Linked DNA regions of Caenorhabditis elegans. The protein of the gene in region 1 purifies or fractionates together with the protein of each later gene. This does not show direct contact. Each region holds a gene or a part of one and is shown on either strand. Other genes may lie near its edges. The genes, in order: F09E5.8, ZK402.5 and Y79H2A.12.

Region 1 (3,957 bases):
GCAGAGCCACACAAAGCAAAAACCAATGGAACTGCCACGTTCGTATCGAGATCCTGCAATGTCATTGGTTGACATCAAAATACCTTTCAATTAATACGCACCGTGACTGTTGCGATGTAAAGCTGTCGATAATTTTTCGGAATTTCTGAGAATTTCCCATCCAAATGCAAGCTGTGCGCACCATACAAAGATTCAGCTTCCTCTGCTTGCCACACAACTAGCAAATCCTTATTAGACTCAAACGTTCCAGAACTGTCTAAACAACATTTTCCTCCTTTAAAATAGGCAGAATCGAGGGCTGGTGGAAAACTATTCGTCGATTTCCTACTCAGCATACCGTCCAGTATGCGACTGATTTCTTTCTGGAAAAAGTATATGTTTTATTGATTCCACGATTTATTATTTACGTTGCTCTTGAGAAGTTCAACAACTTCATATCTTTTTGAAAGTGTAACAGCAAGCTCATAAAGGCGTTCTTTTGATGGTGAAGAAGACATTGATGAAACTGCGATTTTTCTCATAATTAATTGCACCTAAAATATAAATTTAGTTTTGAAAAACGTAAATTTCAGTATACTGCAATTTCGCTTCTCCTCGATTCGTGATCACAATCACGACTGACTTTCACATGGCCTGTCTCAGTCTTGATACGCACGGATCCGGGGCACTTTCTCGAGTTTTCCAGTGTAACGTTACATCTGAAATAAATTAATGAAATGTGTGACAATTTTTTCCTAGCGATAATTCACCTAGCCACAATGTCCCCATTTTTCAGTGTTTCTCTCGGACGATAGCTTTGATTGTTGAAAATGACCAATGGAGCTCCTCGTTTCGTCGAAATACTGAAATTGCATAGTTTCTATGTTTAATTGTTTTAGAAGTTAGAAGGCATACCAAAAATCTGAACTATTCTCGCTGATATATTCCGGTGCCATTTCAAGCACCCCTCTTGGGCTATTGGCAATCGGTCTATAGTGCATCAGAGAACGTAACACGTGTGACTTGCTGGAATTTTATATTTTGATAGAGTTATTGATTAATAACAACCTATTTGTCAAAAACCAATCCGGATGGTATGGAGTCTCTTCGTCTTCAAACGGAGATTGATATGAATTGTGACCTAAAAATACAACGTCTGTTATTTCTATTTAATTATTAGTTAAGACCTACACAGAAGATTGAATTCACTTGTTTCCTGTAGATCGTGATCCATTTCTTCGGGAAATACAGCTGGATAAAAATCAAAAAATCTTTCAGTATTTGCCATGGAATCTGTTGTATCCAAGCTTGTTTCCTGAGTAGAATTGGCTATTGAATCGCATTCCGGGATATCGTCAGTGGATCTCGGCTCATCGAGCTCTCGAGAATTTGAAGGAAACTGCATATACGAATCAGACCGACGTGGTGATGCAGGTGGAGTAACCAGATCGATTGTTGCAGGAGTCGATTCACATACATTTGTAGTAGACGCTTTCGGATTTCTTTTCTTCTTTAGATCCCTGTCGAACGCTGAAAAATACTTTTCACTCTTCAATTAATCTTTAGACATCAATACTTGCCTCTAAAAAAGCGTTTGGCTCCGCTTGGATCACTCTCAGCATCAAGTTCTTCTTTTTTCCGGGAAGGAAACGCTCATTTTCGATTAATATTAATTTTGATCGATTCGAAATCGAATGAAACCCGTTTTTGTCATCGAAAATTCTGAAAATATCCGTATTTAGCTCGAATAAAACTAATTAATTTCCATTAAAAATCCGTTTTTAATTGAATTCCGTTCGAAATTTCCTGTTGGAAAAATAAATAAATAAATACGAAGAAGCGTGCGGCGCATTGCAAAAAGCCGTGCGGCGCATTGCGAAGGACTGTGCGGCGGGCTTGCGAAAAGGCGCGCCGCACATTGCCCTACTGAAAGCGTTCCTTACGAAAAAATCCCCTTACGAAAACGTACCCCCTCTAGAAATTTCTTATTTTGTTGTTTCCTTCCTTTTCCGTGTTTAGAACTAAATAATATAGTTTTCAGGTAGAAAATGTCTATAGAAATTGTACAAAAAAGTCTATTCAACATTATTGAAGCCGTTGCCGACGCCGTTACTGCTTCGCAAGCCACAAAAAGGTTGGTAAACCGGAAATTATTGCGAAACTAAATTAATAATGAATTTTTCAGATGTCGACTTGTTGCTGTCAGTAAAACAAAGTCTGCTGATTTAATAGAGGCATGTTATTCTCAAAATCAGCGTCATTTTGGAGAGAATTACGTCCAAGAAGTGAGAGAAAAATCATCAACAAAACTTTTGAAAATGATTCCTTATTGTTCAGCTTGAAGAAAAATCTGATGTTTTGGCGTCAAAATGTTTAGATATTCGTTGGCATTTTATCGGACAAGTGCAATCAAATAAAGTTAGTTCTGATGGAAAATTTACCTTATTTATTAATCATTTAAAAATTTTTAGATTGGAAAAATTTGCAATTCTCCTGGACTTTGGTGTGTTGAAACAGTGGAGACTGAGAAACATGCTCGGATTTTCGACAAGGTGTGTTTAGTGACTATTAATCTATTTTAATTAAATATCTTGAAGGAATGGTCAAAACACGGAGCCAATTTGTCACCACTACGAGTTCTCGTGCAAGTAAATACATCCGGAGAAGATAATAAAGGAGGAATCGAGATTGGAGAAGCACCGAAACTTGCGGAATTCATTCGAAAAGAATGCCAAAACTTGAAATTTGATGGATTCATGACTATCGGATCGTTTGACAACAGGTATATATTTATTTATTGTTACGACTATCCTACTAAAAAGTTGTTCAGTGGCAGGTGAAATGGAAATAGGTGTAAGAAATGATGAAAATGAACGTTTTATATTAATTATTACTTGTAAATAATGATCAAGCTAACAAGCGATAAATTAAATATTTACCATAAAATAAAAGTTCAATTTTACAGCCACGCAAGCGGAGAAAATCCGGATTTCGAGAAGCTCTTCAAAGTCCGACAAACATGGGCAGAACAAACAGGTGAACAGATTTTCTAGAAAAATCAAAGCGAGAACCGTCAGTGGTTGACGTCAAAAAATAAAACTTATGCTTCAAGAAATGTTTTGAAATGTTGGATCCACAAAGTTTCTAAACAAAAACTTGAAAAGTATTGATTTCAGGTGAATCTGCGGATTCAGTAGAACTCTCAATGGGAATGTCCGATGATTTCCTTCAAGCAATTCATCAAGGTGCAACAAGTGTTCGAGTGGGAAGCAAGCTGTTCGGAGCCAGAGAATACAAAAATAAATAGATTTACATTCCATTTTTTAGTTTGTTATTTTTTTAGTATTTAAAGAAAATTCACTATTCAAATTCACTTTTTTTTTAATTACCAGATTCCAATTCAGTTGCTGTTACTGTTTAAATACCTTTCTTTTGAATTGAACTTTTCAGTTCCTTCAGCATTTTTTTCAGTCACAGAATAATGGATAATTTCCGATCGGAAATTCTCAAGGAAACTCGAGAATTAATGCTCAATGAGCAGCAACATGTAGGTTAATTCTTTACTTTTAAGCAAATTAAGCGTGATTCATTCAGGAGGAAAGCATGAAATCTTGGAACGGACCTGAAACGAAAGGATTTGAATTAAAATTCGGAGGCACCAAGCGAGGAGTTCCACAGAACTCTGGAGTAGTTGGTCAGGTTTTCATCAGTGAGGATGGAGGATTTGAAGCAATCATAACTGGATATGTCATAAAAAGTAAGTTTTGAAAATAAAATTGTCAGTTATAATTCGATTTTTCAGACAGTCTCCGTTCCATCGCAGCTTCTTTCACAGTAACTCCTTCGTCTTCTCTGAAATCTGATTTGTCGGAAGGTCTTCATCCACTCGTGCTTGCTATTGGATCAGCTCTTACTCTCAATCATATTTTGATGCTCGGCTCTCTGCGTGACAAAATTCTGAAAAACTTGACACCCAAG
Region 2 (4,716 bases), on another chromosome or scaffold:
AATTGTTTATTAAACAAATAAAACGAAAACAAAGCTTTTATTCAGAAAAAAATGGAAATTGTAATTTATAACTTGAATGGCGAGGAGACCAGACACGGTGGCACTTGAATGGTGACTTGAATGGCAAGGAGACCAGAAGCATTTATTCTGTCCTGTAAACGGTAGGGTAAGGTAAAAAAAGACTAAGAAAAAAAACTCACCATACTCTAATGAGTCCTTCAATCTCATCCAGGGCCTCGAGATTGAGAATTATTTTGCGTAATTCTCTGTTCTCCTGACGAAGAAAACGATATAGATTTGAAAAAAATCGGTGCATGAACGCGGTTTGAGTGGCAGGTGCGAAATTTAGCTCCCTGGCTGGGGGTGGGAAATTTAGCTCCACATACTACTGAAAGTCGTCCGAAACTTCTCCAGCAAGCCCAAGCATCACTCGGACACGGCTTTCAATACTGTAATTGTCCAGTTGATCCATGTTTGGCGCAAGCTTTTTATGGAATCTAAATCTAAATTTATTAAAGAGAACCAGGTATAATATTCTCACTTTCGATAATAGGCTCCATCCGAACATCTGGCATTTTCTTTTTTACCGAACTCCATGAAAACTTTTGTTGCCACCAGTGGCTCATTGGCTTCTTTCGTCTTTTCAACAAGAAACGTCATCAATCTTACGTCATCGGCGGAGAGCATGATCTTCGTTGACCTCTTTCGTGCTGCCTTAGAAGATTTACTGTGGATTCTTTCCAACGTGAGTTTTCCGTCGCGTGACTTATAATTGCAGATTCGCATTTTCTTGTCAATCTTAACAGTGCCAGTCGATTTGATCCTGCAACAAACTAAATTCATAAATCTGAAGGTAACATCTCTCCTCACAATGTCATGAACTTGTCCGACACTTTTGCCGACAAGGCAAACGTCACTTGAATGCGTGACACGACACTGTATTCGTTTTTTTCGTTTTATGTTCCGACCCCTACAATACTTTAATACGAATCCTTAAGCATCGTAATTTATTTTCGTTTTTTTTTTTTTGGTTTTTCAAAAATTTCAATTTTTGTTTTTTGGTCCAAACTTTTTTTGGTCCCAGTCCTGTGGCCAACTCTACCTCGGGACAACATAATAGGGGCAACGTTTTTCAATCTCTAAAATAATTTTTGTATAGTTTTATTTGCGCGCATTTGAAAAATCTCATGGGTACGCAAATGAAAAACGCGATTTCAAGATCAAATATATAATCAGGGATTTTTTTAATTTGTTCACATAGATGTTCGGAATCAGGGGAAAATTTGGAGTTATTTAAAAATATTTCCTAGATTTCGGTACCCCACCTTTAATACCTACAGTTGTGACGTAATTTTTCAACACTTTTTAATTTTCCGACACTATTTGAATAACCCCATTCAAAGTTGTATTATTCAAGTCACATGTATTCCGAGAACTTCCTAAATTACAATATATTCGAAATATTATTCATATTGGTAAATATTGATGGATGGATTCCTTTAGTCGACAACATATTGTCACCCCACCATAAAACCCTCAAACATGTTGTCACCGTCTAGATAGGTACGTAGAAAAGAATGACTCACTGTGTTCATATAACCTTGGCGTTAGCAGCTGCACAGCAACATTCTACATTTCCAATCATTCTTTGTTTTACTTGGGTTACTGGTGGTGACCCTCTTCTATTCTTCTAGTTTTCTATATGAACCTTTTCTAATGTTATTCCTATTTTTACTTTAGTAATATTAATTGGTAGAAAAGTAAGTTTTTTTTTGAATTTGTTTCAACAGGTAAGTGGGAATTTTATTTCAAAATATGCAATTTGTTGCTAAATTTTGAGAAATTTATTAAATTGGAAAACTGATAACACTCTTGGTTATCACTTTATTTGAATTTTCGGGCTTTTCTTCTCAAATTTTTTTAATTTTTAAAAGTAGGTGTTTGTCATTGGTGAAAATTATTTAAAACCGCTGAGATAGTGCTATACTCTTTAAATTCTATTATGAAACATTAAAATTTTTCAAATATTGCTTATTAACTTTGATATAAGGTGGATTGATTATTTTAAGTTTAAAATACTGTGTAGGAATACTCAAAGAGTTTAAGAAAAGCATTCAAAAATGCTGTGGAGTAGCGCCAGTGGGAAAAGTGCTAAAACTATTAGAAAACTATTAATATGATGCCAAAATGACCAAATATCACAACAAAACTTTTTAAAATTTTTTTGAAATTTTTTATTTACTGTCAAAAAATGACGATTGACAACTCATTTTTTGCCACTCATAATTCTGGAAGTCGACCAAAAATTTTTTTAAAACTTAAACTTTTTATATTGTAATTTTGTTTCAATTATTCGTATTAAAGTATTGTAGGGGTCGGAACATAAAACGAAAAAAACGAATACAGTGTCGTGTCACGCATTCAAGTGACGTTTGCCTTGTCGGCAAAAGTGTCGGACAAGTTCATGACATTGTGAGGAGAGATGTTACCTTCAGATTTATGAATTTAGTTTGTTGCAGGATCAAATCGACTGGCACTGTTAAGATTGACAAGAAAATGCGAATCTGCAATTATAAGTCACGCGACGGAAAACTCACGTTGGAAAGAATCCACAGTAAATCTTCTAAGGCAGCACGAAAGAGGTCAACGAAGATCATGCTCTCCGCCGATGACGTAAGATTGATGACGTTTCTTGTTGAAAAGACGAAAGAAGCCAATGAGCCACTGGTGGCAACAAAAGTTTTCATGGAGTTCGGTAAAAAAGAAAATGCCAGATGTTCGGATGGAGCCTATTATCGAAAGTGAGAATATTATACCTGGTTCTCTTTAATAAATTTAGATTTAGATTCCATAAAAAGCTTGCGCCAAACATGGATCAACTGGACAATTACAGTATTGAAAGCCGTCTCCGAGTGATGCTTGGGCTTGTTGGAGAAGTTTCGGACGACTTTCTGACACAGTAAAAAATTTTAAAAAGGTTTTTGAGTTAACGAATAGTGATTTACAGAGTTCAAACGGAGGGAATTGTCGTGCTCAATGATGGCAAACGAATTTGCGAGTATGCATCACGTGATGGAAAGCTGAAGTTGGAGGCGGACCACAGTCATTCGGCAAGAATGAAAAGAACATCTGCATATCACCGAAAGGCTGGTCGACACGTGCACATGGTCATGAATGCAAGTCAGACGACGAACCAAGCCGAGAGCGACGAAGATGGCGTAGATTCGGCGACTTCTCTTCCTAGATCTCCGAAAAGAGCGAGAACTGAAATGTATATCCTGTCAATTTCATATTACGCAGTATTTTATTTGATTATTTTCAGGAGCTCGAGTGACGACGACGATGATCTGGAGATTATTGAAACTGTGGACGGATATCCGAAGCCTGAGCCAGTTGATTTCGATTTTGAAGAACTCCTCAATAGAGATTCAACCTATAATTTGCTCATCGATCATTCGCAAGAATATAAAGAAGTGATGATGGAAGAGAACAATCAGCCAACTATTTATGTGAAATCTCTTCAATTGGACAGTGACGACGATGAGGTGCAATACATCGGAGCGATGAAGGGACAGCCGAAGCCTGAACCAATCTTCGAAGGATTTGCACCACATAATTCGAATAGCGATCATGTGCAAGAAGAACAAAAAACTGGTGTTCCACGCTTCGATCGTCAACAAATCAGTCTTTCCGCGAATACTGGAGCCACTTCAGATGAACCCATTAATATGTCTGAATTCCTGAAACAACTGACCCAGTTCATTTGCTTTCTCAAAAGTAGGGAACTCGAGGAGCTCAAGCAACAAATCAAAAAGTCAATTGGAACTAATGTTGATAAGGTTTACAGTTCTCATGGAAAAAAAATTATTTTGAAAATTCGATTTTCAGAAAATCCTATTTGCCGAGCTTCGTGGAGTTTTCGAGGCATTCCTCATCACGATCAATCGAAAAATCAAAGCAACCGCTTGTCCCTGCTATGTAGGTCAAGGATTTCCTTCTCAAGTTCAATGGACCTTTTTTTCCTTTTTTTTTTGGGATGAAAAAATTCGCAAAAAAATTTCCCGTGGTGGAGGGTTGAACTCATCCCCTCCCCCCTCCCACCCCCCATTTTTCAAAAGAATTTTTGACATTTCAAATTCGAATGATTTGTGTGTTCTAAGTTTCCTTAGACTATGTTAGGTCTTTTTTTTTAAAGTTGTATGAAAAATCAATAAAGTTCGTCCAACAAAAAAAAATTCGAAAACATTTTTAATGGTTTTTTTTTTCAATTCTTGCATGTTTGCCCAATTTATGCGAAATCCACCTATCAAAACTCAGATAAAAGCTGACAAGGTGCACCATTGGACAGGCGAGAGCCTGAAAAACGAGTTCCCAAAAAATCGGGAAAATCGATAGGAAAAACGTTATGATTTTTTACCCAGAACGTATTTTTCACCCTAAGAAAGAATTTTTCATTAGAATTTTTAACTGTTTTTTTTCAGTTGTTAAGGACATTCGGGATGGCTGATGTGATTGATGCAGAAATGGAAACGATAGAGGAAATGCTGTGGCCAGAAAGAATAATTTTTGTTATAATGATACTTGTAATTCTTGGGAGTTTATTTACCGTTTCCTAGATTTTTAAAGTGTTCTCTATGAATGAACCTAATTAATTTCTTGTATTTTGCAGTACATATTTCACCAAAATATAATACAAAACTCAACACTACAGATATT
Region 3 (6,026 bases), on another chromosome or scaffold:
CCAAAAAGGTTATTTCGATATATGAATCATAAACGAAACAAAAGCGCAGCTTTTGTATAAATATCTTTTGTATAAAAGAATACGACACGTTTCGTATTTGATTTTCCTTTTTTTCGCTTCTTTCCGAACAAAAACATGCCTATTTTCTGGGTAAGAGAAATTTTGCTAATTTTTTTTTTCAAAATTTAATTTTTCGAAATTTTCAGACCACACCAAAAAGTGTTAAGCTGGCAAAGGTTTGTCTGCTGGCCACGGATTTCTGGCTTCCCTCATAAATTGAAATGGAAGAGTTTGCCGAACTAGGCCAGGCCATATTTGGGGTAGATTTACGGCGCGTTGCGTGTCACGTCGCGGCTCGTGGAGTACACACGACTTTCCTTGTCCGGCAGGCGATTGTCAATGGAGCACGAAAAGTTACAATGAGGAAGGCCAGAACCCCGTGTTTTTTTCAAGGAAAAAAATTGAAAAATGTATGAGTCATCAAAATCATTCAGGTCGTGGCTATCGTGATAACCATAATATTCCTGATTCTTCCAATTGTCAACTGGATTTTCGATTTGGCTCCAATTGAAGCACATAAATGGGCAATCTCAATCGGAATGATAATTGGAGCTGTTCTTGAACTTGTTCTCATTACAATAATTATCCTAGAATGCAAATTCCTAATTTTCATTTCATTGGTGATCTTGGTGAGCTTCTTTAAAAAATCCCTTCTTCAAAAATTCAAATTAACAGGCCATCAACATTGCCGCTTTCACACTTTGTGCCAACCTTTCAGTTTTAAAATTTGCAAGTGAGTGGGTTTCTTTTAACTCAAAGCTCCTAATTTATTACATATCTGGAAAAAAAAACTATTCAGTCTCATCAATGACCACACTGAAAGCCAAGCTAGGTATCGATAATGAAGATGAAGCGCTTGACAGATCAATCGTGATGGAGCTCATAGCTATTGCTGTTCTGATATGTGAGTTGAAATTAAAATTAACAGTAAAGGCAAGCAGGTAAGCATGTAGGCAGTCAGGCGCGAGGCATGCAGAAGGTAGGCATAAAGTAGGCACGTAGGCTGTAGGCATGAAGTGGATGGGCACGAAGATTGGTACATAGGAATGTAGTTGGACATAAGGTAAATGCTTAAGTTAGGCAAGCAGGGATTAGGTAATGAGATATGTATAAAGTAGGCAGGTAGGCAAATAGGTATGTGGTAAGTATAGGCAAGGATCAGGTATGCTTGCAAGCTGCTAGGTATAAAGTAGGCACGTTAGTAGGCACATAGGCAGGCAGATATACGGAGGCAGGCGTGAAGTATGCACTAAAGTAGGCATCATAAAAGATGCACGAATGAAGGTACGTAGGCCGGCATCTGGTAGGTATGAAGGTAGAAATGAGGGAAGTTTGAGGAATGCGAAAGGGGTAGGCAAATAGGCATAGAGTAGGCAAATGTAGTAGGCACGCACGCAAAGAGGCATGCCGTAGGCACATGGATTGGAACGTAGGCAGTCAAAAATGAGATGGCCACGTAGGCAAACACGTAGGCATTCAGTCATCAGGTAGGCATGAAGTAAGCATAGGCAGGTGGGCATCATAAAGGATGAACCTATGTAGGCATGTAGAAATTAGGTGTGGACATAGGCAGACAGGCAATGGATCAGTATGTAGGCAGGCAGGAGGTAGGCATGCGCTCCTGAAGTCAAAAAAATTTCAAATAAATTTAATTTTTTTTCCAGTGTTGCTCGTGAGATATTACGCTGTCCTAACAGTCTATCGTTGGACAAAACTACCACGTGTCGCTGCGGGACCCCGGATTACAGTTCATAATATTAAATAATTATTAAAATGTGAAAAAGTTCGTGATAAAGTTCTTGAAAAAATTGAAAACAAAACAGTCATCCAAAGAGGATTAATAATATGTTTCGAGAGGGATAACCAGTTTTTGAGGTTAATACGTTTTGAATATTAACCATTGATTTTTCTACACTGCAAAAATTTTCCGTTTTTTTTTTCGGAAATTTTTATACCAAATGAATTAGCAATGTCTTATGGTGGCCCGGTAAGTTAGAAATGAAAGAAAAAATTGAAATAAAAATTTTAAAAAGTTGTTTCTAGCCCCGTATTTTTTGCGTTCAAACCCGCCACGTCATAATTTTTTTCTCAATATTTGAATTATTTTTGTGTGGATGGCAGACGGTGTTGAATGAGGATCGTATTACAAGAACGACTGGAACTATATCCGCAATTCTGACACTTGTCATTCTATACAGTGTTGTCAAGAATCGAGCGTCTCTATTGAAAATTGCAATGTATATATCGGTAATGGTGTTGGGAAATTTTTTAATATAAAGGTGGAGCAGCGTAGAAATTGCCAAAAAAAACTACTCTGATGGCGCCAAAATTAGCGAATATCATAGTAAAACTTTTCAAATTTTTTACTTAACATTTTTATTGACCGCCCAAAAGTGGCAATTACAGAGTTTTTGCCACTTTGAGAATATTTAAATCCTGCAGTATTTGAATCAGGGAAGGGCGGCAAACGATATATCTTTTTTCCGGCAAACGACGACTCGGCAAACCGGCGAATTGTCGGATTTAAAATTTCTGGCAAATCGGCAAAACGGCGAATTGTCGGATTTAAAATTTCCGGCAAATCGGCAAACCGGCAAATTGTCGGATTTAAAATTTCCGGCAAATCGGCAAACCGGTAAAATGCCGGAATTGAAAATTTCCGGCAAATCGGCAAACCGGCATTTTTTGCCGAGTGTGCCGGAAAAAAGGCAACTGCCGAAAATTTTTGACATATTGTGGTTTTGTTTTTATTTATATATAGTCGGCACGGTACAATTTTGCCGACTAATATTGTAATTCTGAAGTTCTGAAATTGCCAAAAAAAAGTGCAAAACCACAATTTGCCGGTAATTTCAAATTGGCAGATTGCCGGAATTAAAATTTCCGGCAAATCGGCAAACCGGCAAAAATTTGAATTTCAAAAAGGCACAGTTTTAAGTTTTCCGTCTTATAAAATCCCTCTAAAACATTCGGCAAATTGCTAGCCGGCAAACGGCTAATCGGCAAATTGCCGGAATTGAAAATTTTCGCAAATCTGCAAATCGGCAAAGTGCTGAAAATGAAAAATTCCGGCAAACCGGCCAACTGGCAATTTTCCGACTTGCCGAAAATTAGCAGATCGGCAATTGCCAGATAGGACATAAAATTTGAAAAACAAACATTTGTCGACAACTTCCAAAAAAGTGGCAAAAATAGATTTTTCCATTAAAAAAAGCATACAAAATTTAGAGCAGATTTTCGAATTTTTGCTATGATATTCGGCAGGGCTTCCATATATGCGCTAAAACGCCTGCCTGCCTGCCTGACCATAAGGCGACCCTCGCCTGCCTCTCGCCTTACTCCGCGCCTTATGCTGATGTATGTATACGTGAATTTTTTTTGCATTTCTTAATTTGATTTTCATCAAATTGATATAACGAGAAAATTAGAAATTTGTAAATTCACTTAAAAATGCAGGCGGGCAGGTTTCAGGCAGGCGTCAGGCAATGGAGCCGTACCATGGAAGCCCTAATATTTGATCAGAACAATTTCCTCTAGTGGCGCTACTCCACTTCTTTAAAAATGTTTTTTTTTGTAGATATTCCAACTTGCATTCGAATTCGGCGAAATCCTTGTAACTCCAGTTTATTTTTCAAGTCAAGTGGCGTCAGGATACGAATCAAATGATACGTATCCTAACTTTCTCGGCGTAAAAACGGCGGAAGAGGATCGTTTTGTCATTGGGCTTTTGACAGGATATTCTGTGGAAATAATCATGACAATTTCTGTTACATGTGGGTTTTTGAATTAAATTAATTCCGAAAATTCATCATATAACTTTTTTCAAACATTTTTCGAACTAGCAATCTTTTAATTTTTATTCAAAGGCGGAGTAGAGTCAGAAAATTTTTCGCTATTATTTTTAAATGACTGAAAAACCCCTAATGTCCGATATAATTGTAAAAATAAATAAAAAATCCTAATTTTTCAAATGATTTTTTTCGAATTCCCGCGCAAATACGTGACGTCATTTTCGATATTTTCGCTTTTTCTGGCTAAACTCTTCTGGTTTTATTTATTTTTCTTTTGCAGATTTGCCAGAAAATTCCGGTGATTTGCCGATTTGCCGGAAATTTCAATTCCGGCAATTTACAGATTTGCCGGAAATTTCAACATCGGCAACTTGACAATTTTCGGGAAAGTTCAATTCCGGCAATTTGCCAGAAATTTCAATTTCGCCCTTTTCCCGATTTGCCGGAAATTTAAATTTCGCCATTTTGCCGATTTGCCGGAAATTTCAATTTCGCCATTTTGCCGATTTGCCGGAAATTTAAATTTCGCCATTTTGCCGATTTGCCGGAAATTTAAATTTCGCCCTTTTCCCGATTTGCCGGAAATTTCAATTCCGGAAATTTACAGATTTGCCGGAAATTTCAACATCGGCAACTTGACAATTTTCGGGAAAGTTCAATTTCGCCCTTTTCCCGATTTGCCGGAAATTTCAATTTCGCCATTTTGCCGATTTGCCGGAAATTTCAATTTCGCCATTTTGCCGATTTGCCGGAAATTTCAATTCCGGCAATTTACAGATTTGCCGGAAATTTCAACATCGGCAACTTGACAATTTTCGGGAAAGTTCAATTTCGCCCTTTTCCCGATTTGCCGGAAATTTCAATTTCGCCATTTTGCCGATTTGCCGGAAATTTCAATTTCGCCATTTTGCCGATTTGCCGGAAATTTCAATTCCGGCAATTTACAGATTTGCCGGAAATTTCAACATCGGCAACTTGACAATTTTCGGGAAAGTTCAATTCCGGCAATTTGCCAGAAATTTCAATTTCGCCCTTTTCCCGATTTGCCGGAAATTTCAATATCGCCATTTTGCCGATTTGCCGGAAATTTCAATTTCGCCATTTTGCCGATTTGCCAAAATATCGAAAATGACGTCACTCATTTGCGCGGGAATTCAAATGTTTCAAATTTAATTCGGTCGTTTCTATGAATTTTGAAATATGTAAAAATTCACTAAAAGTTTAGGACATTTTTGAAAAAATTTTCACAGTCATATTTGGTCATATATTCTAGGCGTATATTCTGTAATTTAAAGCGAAAAATTGTTTAAAAATTTTTCAGTATCAATAATCAAATTCATTCTAATCAATCGATGTTACGTCTATGCAAAACGAATCGAGAATGGGATGCTGGTTAGACAGTCGGATTTAACAAATGTGATGAAGTTTTGAAAGTTCCTTGGAAACACGTGGTGCCAGGCTGTCCCACCACGGTTTGATCTACAAAAAATGCGGCAATTTTTTGCCAAAAAAAGTGTGACGTCAGCACGTTCTTAACCATGCGAAATCAGTTGAGAACTCTGCCGCATTTTTTGTAGATCTACGTAGATCAAACCAACATGGGACACTCTGACACCACACGTTCTGAAATAAATACTTTTTTTTTCTTGATTTGCAAATACAAATTCAACAGCGAATAATTTTATTTACAAACCTGCACGCGTAAAAGATGGGATGATGATGATGATGGAAAATAATCGGGGGAGGACGAATTGTATAACAATTATTACATTCGAAAATTATTTTTTTTTAGCTCAGCTCAAAATTAAAATTCTCAAACAATCAGTGGTTTCAATGGTTTCTGAGTGGTTGCTGCTGTCTCAGCCCCTGCTGCCTCGAGAGCCTCACGTGGTGGATTGTTCTCGAAGAATTTGAGAACAGCTGCGAATGGATCCAACTCCTTCTCATGATTATCTTCAGATGATGTATGTTCAGCATCTTCTTCAGATTCCATTGGTTCAGGTGTTGTGGTGCGTTCTTCGATTCTTGGGAAGCTGTCCTCAATCACAATTGCTCCCTTTCCTTCGAGTTCTGGCTCTTCGGTGGTTGATGGGGTGGCTGAGTTGAGCTCTTTGTTGGCCGCCTGGAATATTACTCATTATGCCTCAGTGAGCACAAAACAGGGGTGGGCCGGAA

Evidence for each region.
Region 2: the proteins of F09E5.8 (region 1) and ZK402.5 fractionate together in Caenorhabditis elegans (co-fractionation; one large-scale study listed by BioGRID). This does not show direct contact.
Region 3: the proteins of F09E5.8 (region 1) and Y79H2A.12 fractionate together in Caenorhabditis elegans (co-fractionation; one large-scale study listed by BioGRID). This does not show direct contact.

Annotation. Positions count from the first base shown.
Region 1 is NC_003280.10:5,348,649-5,352,605, forward strand, and holds F09E5.8 (Pyridoxal phosphate homeostasis protein), read left to right. Parts: upstream 1-2,020; 5' UTR 2,021-2,027; coding exon 2,028-2,113; intron 2,114-2,164; coding exon 2,165-2,264; intron 2,265-2,316; coding exon 2,317-2,397; intron 2,398-2,450; coding exon 2,451-2,531; intron 2,532-2,576; coding exon 2,577-2,761; intron 2,762-2,944; coding exon 2,945-3,015; intron 3,016-3,155; coding exon 3,156-3,286; 3' UTR 3,287-3,345; downstream 3,346-3,957. Other genes in the region: F09E5.7 (PI31_Prot_N domain-containing protein), read left to right, coding at 3,461-3,526, 3,574-3,736, 3,782-3,957. UniProt on the Caenorhabditis elegans protein: Pyridoxal 5'-phosphate (PLP)-binding protein, which may be involved in intracellular homeostatic regulation of pyridoxal 5'-phosphate (PLP), the active form of vitamin B6.
Region 2 is NC_003284.9:1,398,287-1,403,002, reverse strand, and holds ZK402.5 (SPK domain-containing protein), read left to right. Parts: upstream 1-1,643; 5' UTR 1,644-1,760; intron 1,761-2,372; 5' UTR 2,373-2,464; coding exon 2,465-2,472; intron 2,473-2,519; coding exon 2,520-2,801; intron 2,802-2,845; coding exon 2,846-2,959; intron 2,960-3,007; coding exon 3,008-3,271; intron 3,272-3,322; coding exon 3,323-3,839; intron 3,840-3,888; coding exon 3,889-4,179; downstream 4,180-4,716.
Region 3 is NC_003281.10:12,024,815-12,030,840, reverse strand, and holds Y79H2A.12 (Serpentine Receptor, class BC (Class B-like)), read left to right. Parts: upstream 1-1,971; 5' UTR 1,972-2,029; coding exon 2,030-2,047; intron 2,048-2,103; coding exon 2,104-2,307; intron 2,308-3,637; coding exon 3,638-3,833; intron 3,834-5,172; coding exon 5,173-5,282; 3' UTR 5,283-5,490; downstream 5,491-6,026. Other genes in the region: Y79H2A.2 (MARVEL domain-containing protein), read left to right, coding at 136-150, 207-236, 495-689, 736-793, 860-964, 1,725-1,825; brp-1 (uncharacterized protein), read right to left, coding at 5,665-5,973.